Arabidopsis thaliana: one gene and its partners. The protein of the gene in region 2 interacts with the protein of the main gene of each other region in a biochemical or structural test. Each region holds a gene or a part of one and is shown on either strand. Other genes may lie near its edges.

What was found.
Region 1: the proteins of FIB2 (region 2) and PRMT11 form a complex in vitro, tested with the Arabidopsis thaliana proteins (one study listed by BioGRID).
Region 3: the proteins of FIB2 (region 2) and PRMT1A form a complex in vitro, tested with the Arabidopsis thaliana proteins (one study listed by BioGRID).

What each region holds. Positions count from the first base shown.
Region 1 is NC_003075.7:14,489,904-14,493,657, reverse strand, and holds the start of PRMT11 (arginine methyltransferase 11), read right to left. Parts: upstream 2,037-3,754; 5' UTR 1,920-2,036; coding exon 1,682-1,919; intron 1,587-1,681; coding exon 1,576-1,586; intron 1,454-1,575; coding exon 1,298-1,453; intron 1,202-1,297; coding exon 1,138-1,201; intron 1,058-1,137; coding exon 915-1,057; intron 825-914; coding exon 737-824; intron 630-736; coding exon 514-629; intron 424-513; coding exon 273-423; intron 112-272; coding exon 1-111. Other genes in the region: AT4G29490 (Metallopeptidase M24 family protein), read right to left, coding at 2,337-2,438, 2,548-2,691, 2,778-2,846, 2,943-3,048, 3,129-3,182, 3,377-3,447, 3,589-3,630. UniProt on the Arabidopsis thaliana protein: Methylates (mono and asymmetric dimethylation) the guanidino nitrogens of arginyl residues present in a glycine and arginine-rich domain. Type I arginine methyltransferase active on both histones and non-histone proteins.
Region 2 is NC_003075.7:13,072,445-13,076,198, forward strand, and holds the start of FIB2 (fibrillarin 2), read left to right. Parts: upstream 1-1,645; 5' UTR 1,646-1,794; coding exon 1,795-1,813; intron 1,814-2,055; coding exon 2,056-2,396; intron 2,397-2,489; coding exon 2,490-2,585; intron 2,586-2,669; coding exon 2,670-2,747; intron 2,748-2,834; coding exon 2,835-3,011; intron 3,012-3,118; exon of another isoform or gene 3,119-3,191; intron 3,192-3,425; coding exon 3,426-3,494; intron 3,495-3,578; coding exon 3,579-3,754. UniProt on the Arabidopsis thaliana protein: S-adenosyl-L-methionine-dependent methyltransferase that has the ability to methylate both RNAs and proteins. Involved in pre-rRNA processing.
Region 3 is NC_003071.7:8,499,645-8,503,398, forward strand, and holds the start of PRMT1A (protein arginine methyltransferase 1A), read right to left. Parts: upstream 1,651-3,754; 5' UTR 1,471-1,650; coding exon 1,305-1,470; exon of another isoform or gene 1,302-1,304; intron 1,205-1,301; coding exon 1,194-1,204; intron 1,092-1,193; coding exon 936-1,091; intron 865-935; coding exon 801-864; intron 713-800; coding exon 570-712; intron 480-569; coding exon 392-479; intron 292-391; coding exon 176-291; intron 76-175; coding exon 1-75. Other genes in the region: AT2G19680 (Mitochondrial ATP synthase subunit G protein), read left to right, coding at 2,221-2,402, 2,792-2,978; PLA2-BETA (phospholipase A2-beta), read left to right, coding at 3,682-3,754. UniProt on the Arabidopsis thaliana protein: Methylates (mono and asymmetric dimethylation) the guanidino nitrogens of arginyl residues present in a glycine and arginine-rich domain. Type I arginine methyltransferase active on both histones and non-histone proteins. Mediates the methylation of MED36A.

The DNA of each region.
Region 1 (3,754 bases), 1.4 Mb from region 2:
TGTTAGGAGAAACGGACATAGTTCCAGTGATTGTCTCACCCTCACATATGGTTAACACATCTTCTAGATACAGAACTGTTTGTTTCCAGTGTGTAGCTCGGGATTTCGGTCCTGCATGTGACACATATGGTTGTTCAGTGCAAGTTTCAGATCATAATGAAACAATGTGCTATGTTTAAACTTCAAACCAAGTTATTCGATAACATGCCATTTCTTTGCACCAAAAAAAAATAGAATACTCAGAGCTAGCACAAGATTGTAGAGATCTGAACCTGTTGAGAAGCCCAGCAGCTTGTGGCACATGGTAAACGATACATCAAAGTAGGCTACAAGGGCGTGGATGTAGTCATTGCGTTGTGCAACAAGCTTAAAGGGAGCTGTGAAGGAAGCATCACCAGAGGACATCTTTGAGATATCCATCGTCTGTTACAAACCCATAAGAATAATGAAATGAACATTAGTCACACAGGTAAAGAGATACTACTAATCATCATCATATGATATCTTATATACCTTTAGAAGCCTACTATCGGTGACGATTTGGTTTTGGTCGACTGTGTCAACAAGTGGTTCCATCATAGCTTTTTTCTTAATACATGACATGTCAAAACCATACACACTGTTCCAAACTGTAGCAGAACAACAAAAAAGAAATTAAAAATGCAAATCTCAACAGACATCAAGATCAATGTTGGAAAAAAAAAGACGAGAAAACGTGTCAAATCAATGCACTCACATTCGATTTTGTCTTCTTTGTACTCTGAATCCTCTATGGCTGTAAGATGCAGAGAGGCTTTGTCTGGTAGCACAACTCCACCTTCAACCTATCCATAAAAACACAGGACCAAGAAGATTTCATTTAATTGGTTTTGGTAACTAAGAATCTCATGTAACAAGGTGGAGCTGTAACTTACAAGCCATTTATCACGAGCATACAAGACACTGTCCAACATATTTTCAAACAACAAAAAGTAACCCATCCATTCCGATATAATCACATCCACTTTAGGAGTGGGAAGCTCTATCTCCTCAATCTTCCCTTTCAATACCGTAATAACTGCATCGATAAAACAAAAATCATGTTACAGAACAGAAGTTATCGATTTGAATACAACTCAACATGGATAAAAGACCTACCATCAGAAAATCCATTAGCTTTAACAATCTCCTTTGCCATGTCAGCCATTTGAGAACACTCAACCTATTAAGAAACATCCTCAATCAAATCAGTCAAAATTGAAAAAGATTCTTCTTACTTATGATTATTAAAAAAGAGACTGAAAGATTGAAGACATACAGCGTAGACATGAGCAGCTCCTGCCTTGGCACAGAACAGAGACAAAATTCCGGTTCCAGCTCCAACATCAAGAACAATTTTGTCCTTGATAAGAAACTTGTTCTGATAAATAACATTCTGATAAGTCTTTGTTCTCACAACATCCTTCAACATCTCCTGTCAGATACCATTCTCAATTCAGTCATCAGATATATACAGAAGAAAACACAATGAATTACATTAAACTTCTAGAACAAAAACTATAACAAAAAAAACTGAGCTTTGTCCTCGATACTTACTTCATGGATTCCTGCAAAAAAAAGTGGAACCAAATTCAACTCTTAGTAAGAATTCATAACCAAAGAGCACAAGGAAAAAAATAGAACTTGAAAAAAGGGAATTTACCAAAGTGAGAGTAAGAATCGAAGTAGTAATCGGCACTGGTGGTATCATCAGTTACTTCAGCGGTGTCGGCGCTCTCTCCGGCGTCGAACATGGACTCATCTTGGGGAGTTTCCTCGCCGGCAACACCAGACCCTTCAGCAACTTCGTCTTCATCAGCATCTTCAAAGCGTATCTTCGTGTTCTGATTTGGTTCAAAGCTGATGAACTCATTCTCGTCGTGGTTACTGTTCTTAGTCATCTTTTTTTCTCGGTCTCACACAAGAAGGAAGAGAGGAAAGGGTTTTTGGGGATAGAGACGAAGTCGCGAGATTAGGGTTTTATGAAGACACGAAGCTTTTAATTTGAAGTTTTTTTTTTCTCTCTTGTTAATGAATTTTATATTAGAACTAAAATTGTGCTCAAGATATTTTCTGTACCGGTTCGGTTTTCGTCGACAAGCACCAAACCGGTTAGATTTTATCTGTCCACTTGAACATTCAATCGGTTTAATATCCAACCACACAAACAAGACACTGAAACAAAATAAACTACATGTACAAGATTAGTAAAACACAGGCAATTTTTCCTTATTCCCATTAACAAAAATAAAGGTTGTATTATTGAGTTTTACTTATCAAGTTTTTAATTTCCATAAGCTGCCTAAGAGTAGCTACGATCACTTGGTCGGTGGCCAAGGCCCTCCAGCCATCACAGCTTCGATCTCCCATGTCTCTCGTGGAACATTCGTCATGTTCTTGCAGCCATTAGCAGTAACGACCTAAAAAAGAAATCACACATATACAACAAAATGAGATTATTGTATATGACATTACTCTTGAGAGTGTTTTAACTTGTAGACGTTGTAGTGAATATGAATTTGACATTACCAAATCGCTTTCGATTCTGACACCTCCGAAATTTCTGAATCTCTCTATTGTTTCACGGTTGAAGAACTTAGAGGTTGTTGCGTTTGCCATGGCTGGGAACAGCAATGCCTTGATGAAATAGCATCCTGGTTCCACCGTTATTACCTGACATAAATACGATTAGGACAATGAACAGAGACGATAAATGAGAAGAACCAAAAGCATTTCTACTTGAAACAATCGGCCCTTACCATTCCTTCAAGTAGGTCTCTTGCAGTTCGTAATGACTTCAATCCAGGTTTCTTTGGTCTCTCCACTCCCTAAAAGAATGAAAGATCAAAGCAACGGGTAAGACACAGGGACTGTGGTTTTATTTACGTGATGATACTATTGGGTTGAAAAAAGATTTGATGTACCTTTGGGTAGCCACCAGTATCGTGAGTGTCGATGCCCATGAAGTGACCTAGTCCATGAGGCATGAAAACAGCACCCAAGCGCTGTACCATCATGTCATCTACATCACTAGGAACAGAGAACGAAACCATGAGAATGAATTAACCTTTAGAGAAGAGTATTGAAATGTCTAACACAGAGAGAATTACCCAGTGAGTATGGACCCCTTCTTCAGTGACTCAAGGATGATTTTTTCAGCTAACCTGTACATTAATTTGCTTCAGTCGACAAAGAAAGCTGAATAACCATATGGAGATGTATTTCAATTTATCTCCCTAACAAGAGGATAAATCAAAATGGACCAAAGCAACTGAGTTTACGCTTACATTGTCAATCCCAATTACTGCATCTGCATGCATAGTAGAACAGAGCTATATAGCATCTCAGTAAGACTTACTTGTGCATATCCACCCAGTTTACTCCTGGCTTCATCGCAGAGATTACAGAATTATGTGCATCCAGAACAGCCTGAAAGGAAGGCAAAATCAGAGAAACTTATTCAGATGTAAAGCTTCAAGAGACTCACCAAACTCTGGATTGTGCGAAGACAAAAAATAGAGCACACATTTCTAATACATCCACGTTGCACCAATCTTGTAAGGCACTTACATTGTAGATTAGACTCTGGTCACTTGTAAATTTACCATTGACCTGCACACCAATTGATAAATATTAGAGACCACTTTCTCTAGATAACTACATTCAGCAAATTATGATGTTCATGTAAACAAGATTAAAAACACAAGTCAATGCGGTGCAAAGACAATTCAGAGGA
Region 2 (3,754 bases):
GAATAGCGGCACACATTTACGTAAATTTAACTTCAATTTAAAACAATGATTTATTCATTTTCATCATACAAACTTTTCAGCACATTTTCTCCTTTTTAATATAATTTTATATATTATAGATAGAGATATAGATCAAACAATGTATGACTTTAAACTTAGATTGTAAATTCTTCTTACTATGCTCGAAAATTTCATCTACGTATATAGATCTATTGTAAACCTAAGTTTAAAACGGAAATCAGTTATTGATAGTAATCTAGTAAGTTTAATCAACTATGCGTTATAACATAATGAAATCATATATACGAGCTTAGATATCTAATTCAGTTAATCAACAAGTCAACTAAACAAGGCTTCACTTTTCCACACCTCTACAGATCGAAATTATTATATATTCGAATTATGTAACTAATGTAAGTCTTGCAACGTGTGGATAGATACAAAATGGATATGTCCATAGGTATACATATTAAAAATATAACTAGAAATGGTATATTACTAACAAAATTTTACCCCCAAAGGTGGCCATCCACTAGTAGCCACATGCTTATCTAGTAGACATTGAACATGATAAAAAGTGCCAAATAAGTGGAATAATCAATGGGAATCTTCATTCCTATAAACAAAAACATTTTCAAGCCTATGACATAGCTAGCTACTCTACAACATGTATATGCCAATTGGGATATAAATGTATTAAAGCATAACCATTAATTTGACAAATAGAAATAAATAGTTCAGAATGTATAAGTTGAGAAAAGTTATAATGATTGGTAGGGAGAGACTCAAAAAGAAAAAAGGATGGGTAATGGGACCTATTTTCCCCAACATCCCACATGCACACTTCCCTCTCCATTCTCTCACATTTATTTCTTTCATTCTAATTTATCCATTCCGTGTGTAACATATTCACTAATAATCTCATCTCACTAACTCATTCATTGATTGTGATATGTTTATCTAGAATTAGTGTTTTAACACTGTGTCTACATATGATTTCCTTTTCATTGTATGTGAACATGTTAACTCACTAATCATTTTGTATTTTCGAGTTAACATGAGTCTCCACTTCGGTAGACTAAAGTAAAGATAGGTTTGAGTATAATAAAGTTTAAAATTTGCTTTAAAATCAATATTTATAAATAAGTTTTTATCATAAGTGATTTTTGTATGTTATATTGGACCTTGTATAAACAGACTACAGAAGAAAATTATTTATGAGAACTTGTAATGTTAGAGTGGACCTCGTATAAACTAATTATGTGGGCTTTTACCATAAACTATTTATGAAAATTATTATGGCCCACACCACTATAACTAAAGCCCACATATTTAGCAGCCCAGTTTCATTGTAAGAGACATGTTCGCTCTGGAACTAGAATTTTCTGGTTTTTGGGTATTTGTTTTCTTATGTGTAGAGAAATGATGGTAACGATTAAATGTTGTGTATTACAATTTACAATGGTAAGACGATTAATATATTTACACACAATTTTGTTGTTGCTGTAACACGTTAGTGTGTGTGATGATAGAATTTCATAAAGCTTTAACTACGAGGGGCAAAATGTTAATTCTAAATAGTTGACAGCAGAAAAAGATATGTATACATAATATAAGGATTAAAACGTAAATAATAATAAATAAGGCGAGTTAAATTAAAACCCTGTTAAAACCCTAGCTTGAAACACATGTATAAAAACACTTGCGAGCGCAGCTTCATCGCCATCGCCATTCTCTCTCTCATCAAAAGCTTTTCTCCTTGATTTTCGCATTCTTTAGAGTCTTAACGCAAAGATGAGACCTCCTCTAACTGGTAAGAACCCTAGCCGCCTCTTCTCTTTTCTTCATTGCTTGCTTATCAGATTAACAATGGCGAGTGACACTCTTAGCTCGTTTAGTCTTTAAAACTTTATGTCTTTAGCTGAACTGATTGTCAACTTTGTTCTTTTTTGCTTAGAACTGTATTGGGTCTGCGTTAGTTCTATCGGATATAGAGTTGATGGTTGGGTTTTATGTTAAACATGGAGTCTCTAATGAATGGTCTTTTGTGTTCAGGAAGTGGTGGTGGGTTCAGTGGTGGAAGAGGGCGTGGTGGATACAGTGGTGGTAGAGGTGACGGTGGATTCAGTGGTGGTCGAGGTGGCGGTGGTAGAGGAGGAGGAAGAGGTTTCAGCGACCGTGGTGGTCGCGGCAGAGGAAGAGGACCACCACGTGGTGGTGCTCGCGGCGGCAGAGGACCAGCTGGCCGTGGAGGCATGAAAGGAGGAAGCAAAGTGATTGTGGAACCTCACAGACACGCAGGAGTGTTCATTGCAAAGGGTAAAGAAGATGCCCTTGTTACCAAGAATTTGGTTCCTGGTGAAGCTGTCTACAACGAGAAGAGAATCTCTGTTCAGGTATTATAGAGGATTGATTAATTGATTGATGGTTTGTATTTGCACTCCTTTTGATGAATTTGTTTTTAATGGTTCTTGTGATTGAATCTGCAGAACGAAGATGGAACCAAGACTGAATACAGAGTTTGGAATCCTTTCCGTTCGAAGTTGGCTGCTGCTATTCTTGGTGGTGTTGATAACATCTGGATTGTAAGCATCAGCTTGTGTGAATCTTATTGTTGTTGTTTGCGAGACTTGGTTCATATATTGATTGTTGTTCCCGTTTCAATGTAGAAACCTGGTGCTAAAGTTCTATACCTTGGTGCTGCTTCTGGAACCACAGTCTCTCATGTGTCTGATCTTGTTGGCCCTGTAAGCAGAACCCGTCCTTTATGTTGTGATTATCAGGTTTTAGACGTGTATTGGAGTTTCTTATATATTGCCTTTGTGATCTGATAGGAGGGGTGTGTGTACGCGGTTGAGTTTTCTCATAGAAGTGGTAGAGATTTGGTGAACATGGCAAAGAAGAGAACCAATGTTATTCCAATCATCGAGGATGCTAGACACCCAGCTAAATACAGAATGCTTGTAGGCATGGTTGATGTTATCTTCTCTGATGTTGCTCAGCCAGATCAGGTTTGCTTCTTTTGTTTAACTCACAATGAATGTCTAAATATTTGCCTCAAAAAGCTTGACCCAATACCATTATATGTGTCCTTTGCTTTAAAATGGTGTTTTGATAATTGCAAATGATGATCTTACTTGGATTCCCCTTCAGATCATTATGGGTGATGCAATCTCCAAGTTTCTGATGTACTGAAAATTCTTGTTTTTGTTTTTGTTAAGCTTAATCTTATTTTACTATGTACTTGTTTTACAATTTCGTTTTTAAGAACAATACTAAATTTAAATGTCTATTATTGCTCGGTTTTGGTTCTCCTGATGTTAAACCTACTTGTTTTCTAAATGCCATTCAGCTTGTGGGTTGCTTCTAGTATACTTTATACTGTTTTGTTTATGAAATTTTCTGTGCCATTTAAAACCGTGCAGGCTAGGATCTTGGCTTTGAATGCATCATACTTCCTCAAGTCAGGAGGACACTTTGTGATCTCAATAAAGGTGGGTAGCAATCGAAACATTTATTTAATCCATGATCTCTCAAGAGAGAAAGATTAGTGAACATGTATTGTCTCATTTTTGCAGGCAAACTGTATCGACTCCACCGTTCCAGCAGAAGCTGTGTTCCAGACTGAAGTGAAGAAGCTTCAACAGGAGCAATTCAAACCAGCTGAGCAAGTGACGCTTGAGCCATTTGAGCGTGACCATGCATGTGTCGTTGGTGGCTACCGTATGCCTAAGAAGCCAAAGGCTGCTACTGC
Region 3 (3,754 bases), on a different chromosome or scaffold from region 2:
ATTTCGTTGTGCGACGAGCTTAAACGGAGCTGTGAAGGAAGCATCTCCAGCAGCCATCTTAGAGATATCCATTGTCTTTAGTCAAAAAAAACAAAGGCCAACAACAAAAGGAATATGCATTAGCTACAGAAAATTAGGGAGATGTAATTAACTACTACAGCACAATCTTACTTACCTTCAGCAGCTTGCTATCAGTCACGATTTGGTTACCATCAACGGTGTCAACAAGCGGTTCTGTAATTGCTCTTCTCTTGATGCACGACATGTCAAACCCATACACGTCGTCCCAAACTGTACATGAAACGACAAGAAGCAAAGCCGATTGCAAAAAAATCAGGTTTCGAAGATAAATGTTAGCAAAAAGAAAGACAAGATCTTTCATATTACTCACACTCTACTTTGTCGTCTTTATAATGAGCATCCTCAATGGCAGTAACATAAAGAGAAGCTTTATCTGGTAGAACAATTCCACCATCAACCTAACCCAAAAGGAACCAAAAGCACACAAAACTGTTCAAAGCTATGATGAAACCATCATCAACATAAGAACACAGAAAACTCTCACTTACAAGCCATTTATTGCGAGCATACAAGACGGTGTCAAGCATATTTTCATACAACAGAAAGTAACCCATCCATTCAGAGATAATCACATCCACTTTAGGAACTGGAAGTTCGATCTCCTCAATCTTCCCTTTCAAAACCGTTATAACTGCCAACAAAACAAACACAAACACTTGTTTCAGCCAACTACCATCAGATCATAAACCATTTGAATAACACTCTAAACACATACATACCATCTGAGAATCCATTCGACTTAACAATCTCCTTTGCTGTGTCAGCCATTTGAGAACACTCAACCTAAGAATCATTAGTCAAATCAGATCAATAAGAGCCAAACTTTGATTAACGGAGAAGATAAAGAGACATACTGCGTAAACGTGAGCTGCTCCTGCTTTAGCACAGAAGAGAGACAAGATTCCAGTTCCAGCTCCAACATCAAGAACAATTTTGTCCTTGATAAGAAACTTGTTCTTGTAAATAACATCTTGATAACTCTTTGTCCTCACTACATCCTTTAACATTTCCTAATAATAATAACATCACCATAGAAAAACTGTTATACACATTGCCTAGGTTTCAGAACAAAGGATTCAAAACAAAACAAAAAAGCAGGAGACTTTACTTACTTCATGAATACCTGCAAAAATCAATCAATTGGAAACAGAGTAAGCACTTTGCAGAGAATAAGATAACATGAAGAAAGCAACATTATATAATGAAAGTTCAAGGGTTTATACCGAAATGAGAGTAAGAATCGAAGTAGTAATCGGCGCTGGTAATGTCATCAGCAACATCGGCATTGTTGTCATCTCCATCGTGCATTGATTCATCAGCATCCTCGAAGTGTAACTTCGTCGTCTGAGTTTCATCAGAGCCGTTGTTGTTGTTCTCCGTACTAGTCATTTTTTGCGGCAAAGAGAGAGGTTTTGGATGGCTAACAGATTCGAATAAGCAAAAAGATTTAGGGTTTTAGGATGGATACGAACTTTATGTTATGTGTATGATTCTATTTCAGCCGCCGGTTCAATTGTTTTTGACAGATAAACCGGTTTGGTTTATACCGATCCGGTTCGGTTATTGTCGTAATTATAAGGCAGTGTAGATGAAATTTGGAGGAAAAGATTCTGACGCTGGTAGTGGTGAGTGGTGAGCACGGCCAAAAGGTATGGCTTGCTTACGATCACCGATTCATTCTTCTTTTATTTCGTTTAAGATTCTGATATTTTGGTCTAAAATTCTTCTTCGCTCTTTTGGATTTTGGTTTTTAGGGGTTTAAAGTTTGTTTTTTTATGTGTTTGAGTCTCAGATCTAATTTGAAATCTCTTCACTGCGATAATGCTTTTTAGGTTTTGAATTGCTTAATTTTTCCATAATTCGGATTCGTTCGATTTGTTAGTCTGGAATTGAGGACTAGGGTTTTAGTGATTTAGCTTGATATGTGTGAAAAGCCTTATGCTTTTGGATGCCTTGCTTCTGAAATTACATTTTTTCAGTTTCCTGTTTTAGTTATTGAATTCTATCGTGGAGGTGTATAATGAACCATGCTATTGTATATGATGAGCTAATCTTTCTTGTTTAGGCTTAGTTTCTGAGACTCAATTGGTAAATGCTAAACTTGGTTTCTATGATTTTGTAGGATTTTGGTATTGAAAAATGGCATCAAAATTGGTTCAACTTCAATCAAAGGCATGTCAGGCTTCAAAGTTTGTGGCCAAGCATGGGAATTCGTACTACAAGCAATTGTTGGAGCAGAACAAGCAATACATCCAAGAGCCTGCAACTATAGAGAAGTGCAGTGAATTGTCTAAACAATTGCTCTACACTCGTCTTGCTAGGTCATTACCATTTTCTTCTCTCTTTATCTCATGGACATATTTTCAATGGCCATGCTCAAACTATCTTTTATGTATACTTTTGAAACATTAATCTTTAGAGAATGCTGATGAAATGTGCAAGTTGAATTTGCATTACTCGCGAGTAGGTAGCCTTTTTTGCCTGAAAAAAATATGCTTGAGAATTTGTTATCCTCTAGTAGTTTTTGTCCTCGATGGAATTGAGCTTGTAAATATCCTTTGATTAGGATAATATATGTGCCTGTCTTGTTTTTCCTGTCTAGATAACACATTATAAGCACCACATTGTGTTTTGCTATCAGTTGAAGAGTTCGGCTTTCTGTGATACGCAATCTTGCGTCTATAGCTAATACTCTTCTTACTAACTACAGCATTCCCGGGCGCTACGAAACATTTAGGAAAGAAGTAGACTACGCAAAGAACTTATTGAAGAACAGAGCGAATCTGAAGGTGGAAGATGCAGGAATCGCTGCATTGTTTGGCTTAGAATGCTTTGCTTGGTTTTGCGCAGGTGAAATCGTCGGCAGAGGATTCACTTTCACCGGCTACTACCCTTGAAATTGAGACAACAAACAACCAGGTCGCCGGAATATTCTTCCTGACGCTTGTAACTCCCTCCATATGATTCCTCACTTGAACTATATATACTTCCTCGAATCCATTTATATTTTCAGTTTTTTCCTGAAACAGAAGTGTTGGAGCTAAGGGAAAAAAAAACATTTTGGTAAAGCTCTTAATAAGTTGAGAAAAATGCATTTGATACAAGATTCTTCTTTAGATATTTATTTTATCCACAAAGTTTAATATCTGTTCACAATATTTAAAACATCAGAGAATTATTTTTTTTAATATATTAAGTGATTGTTAATTGTCGAATAACTTCAAAAATAGAGGAATATTTGAAAAAAATGTTATTTTGAAGAATTTATGATATTCACAAGAAAATGATTTTTGAGTAAAAAACTGTTATTTTTATTTTGTTTGAGAAACTGATATCATAGTTGAAGTAAAAATTTAATTTTGCAGCTGATAAATTCAAAAATAGAAATATATAATACATTTATTTGAGTGGACTTAAGATAAAATATTGAATTAACTTCAAATCTCAGCGAGAGAATATTCAAAAAAATAATAATAAAATTTTGGTATGTGCGAGAAAGCAGGAAGACCAATGGGATCTTAAGGAGACCCAATTGGAATCTTTAGCCACAATTTCGAAACCTTAGCGAAGAAGACAACAACGATTTACGAGACGACGACGATGATGTTTCGCACTTCATTGATGCGTTTCGCGGCAGCTTTCTTCGCCATTGTCTTCGTCGTTCTCGTCGGTG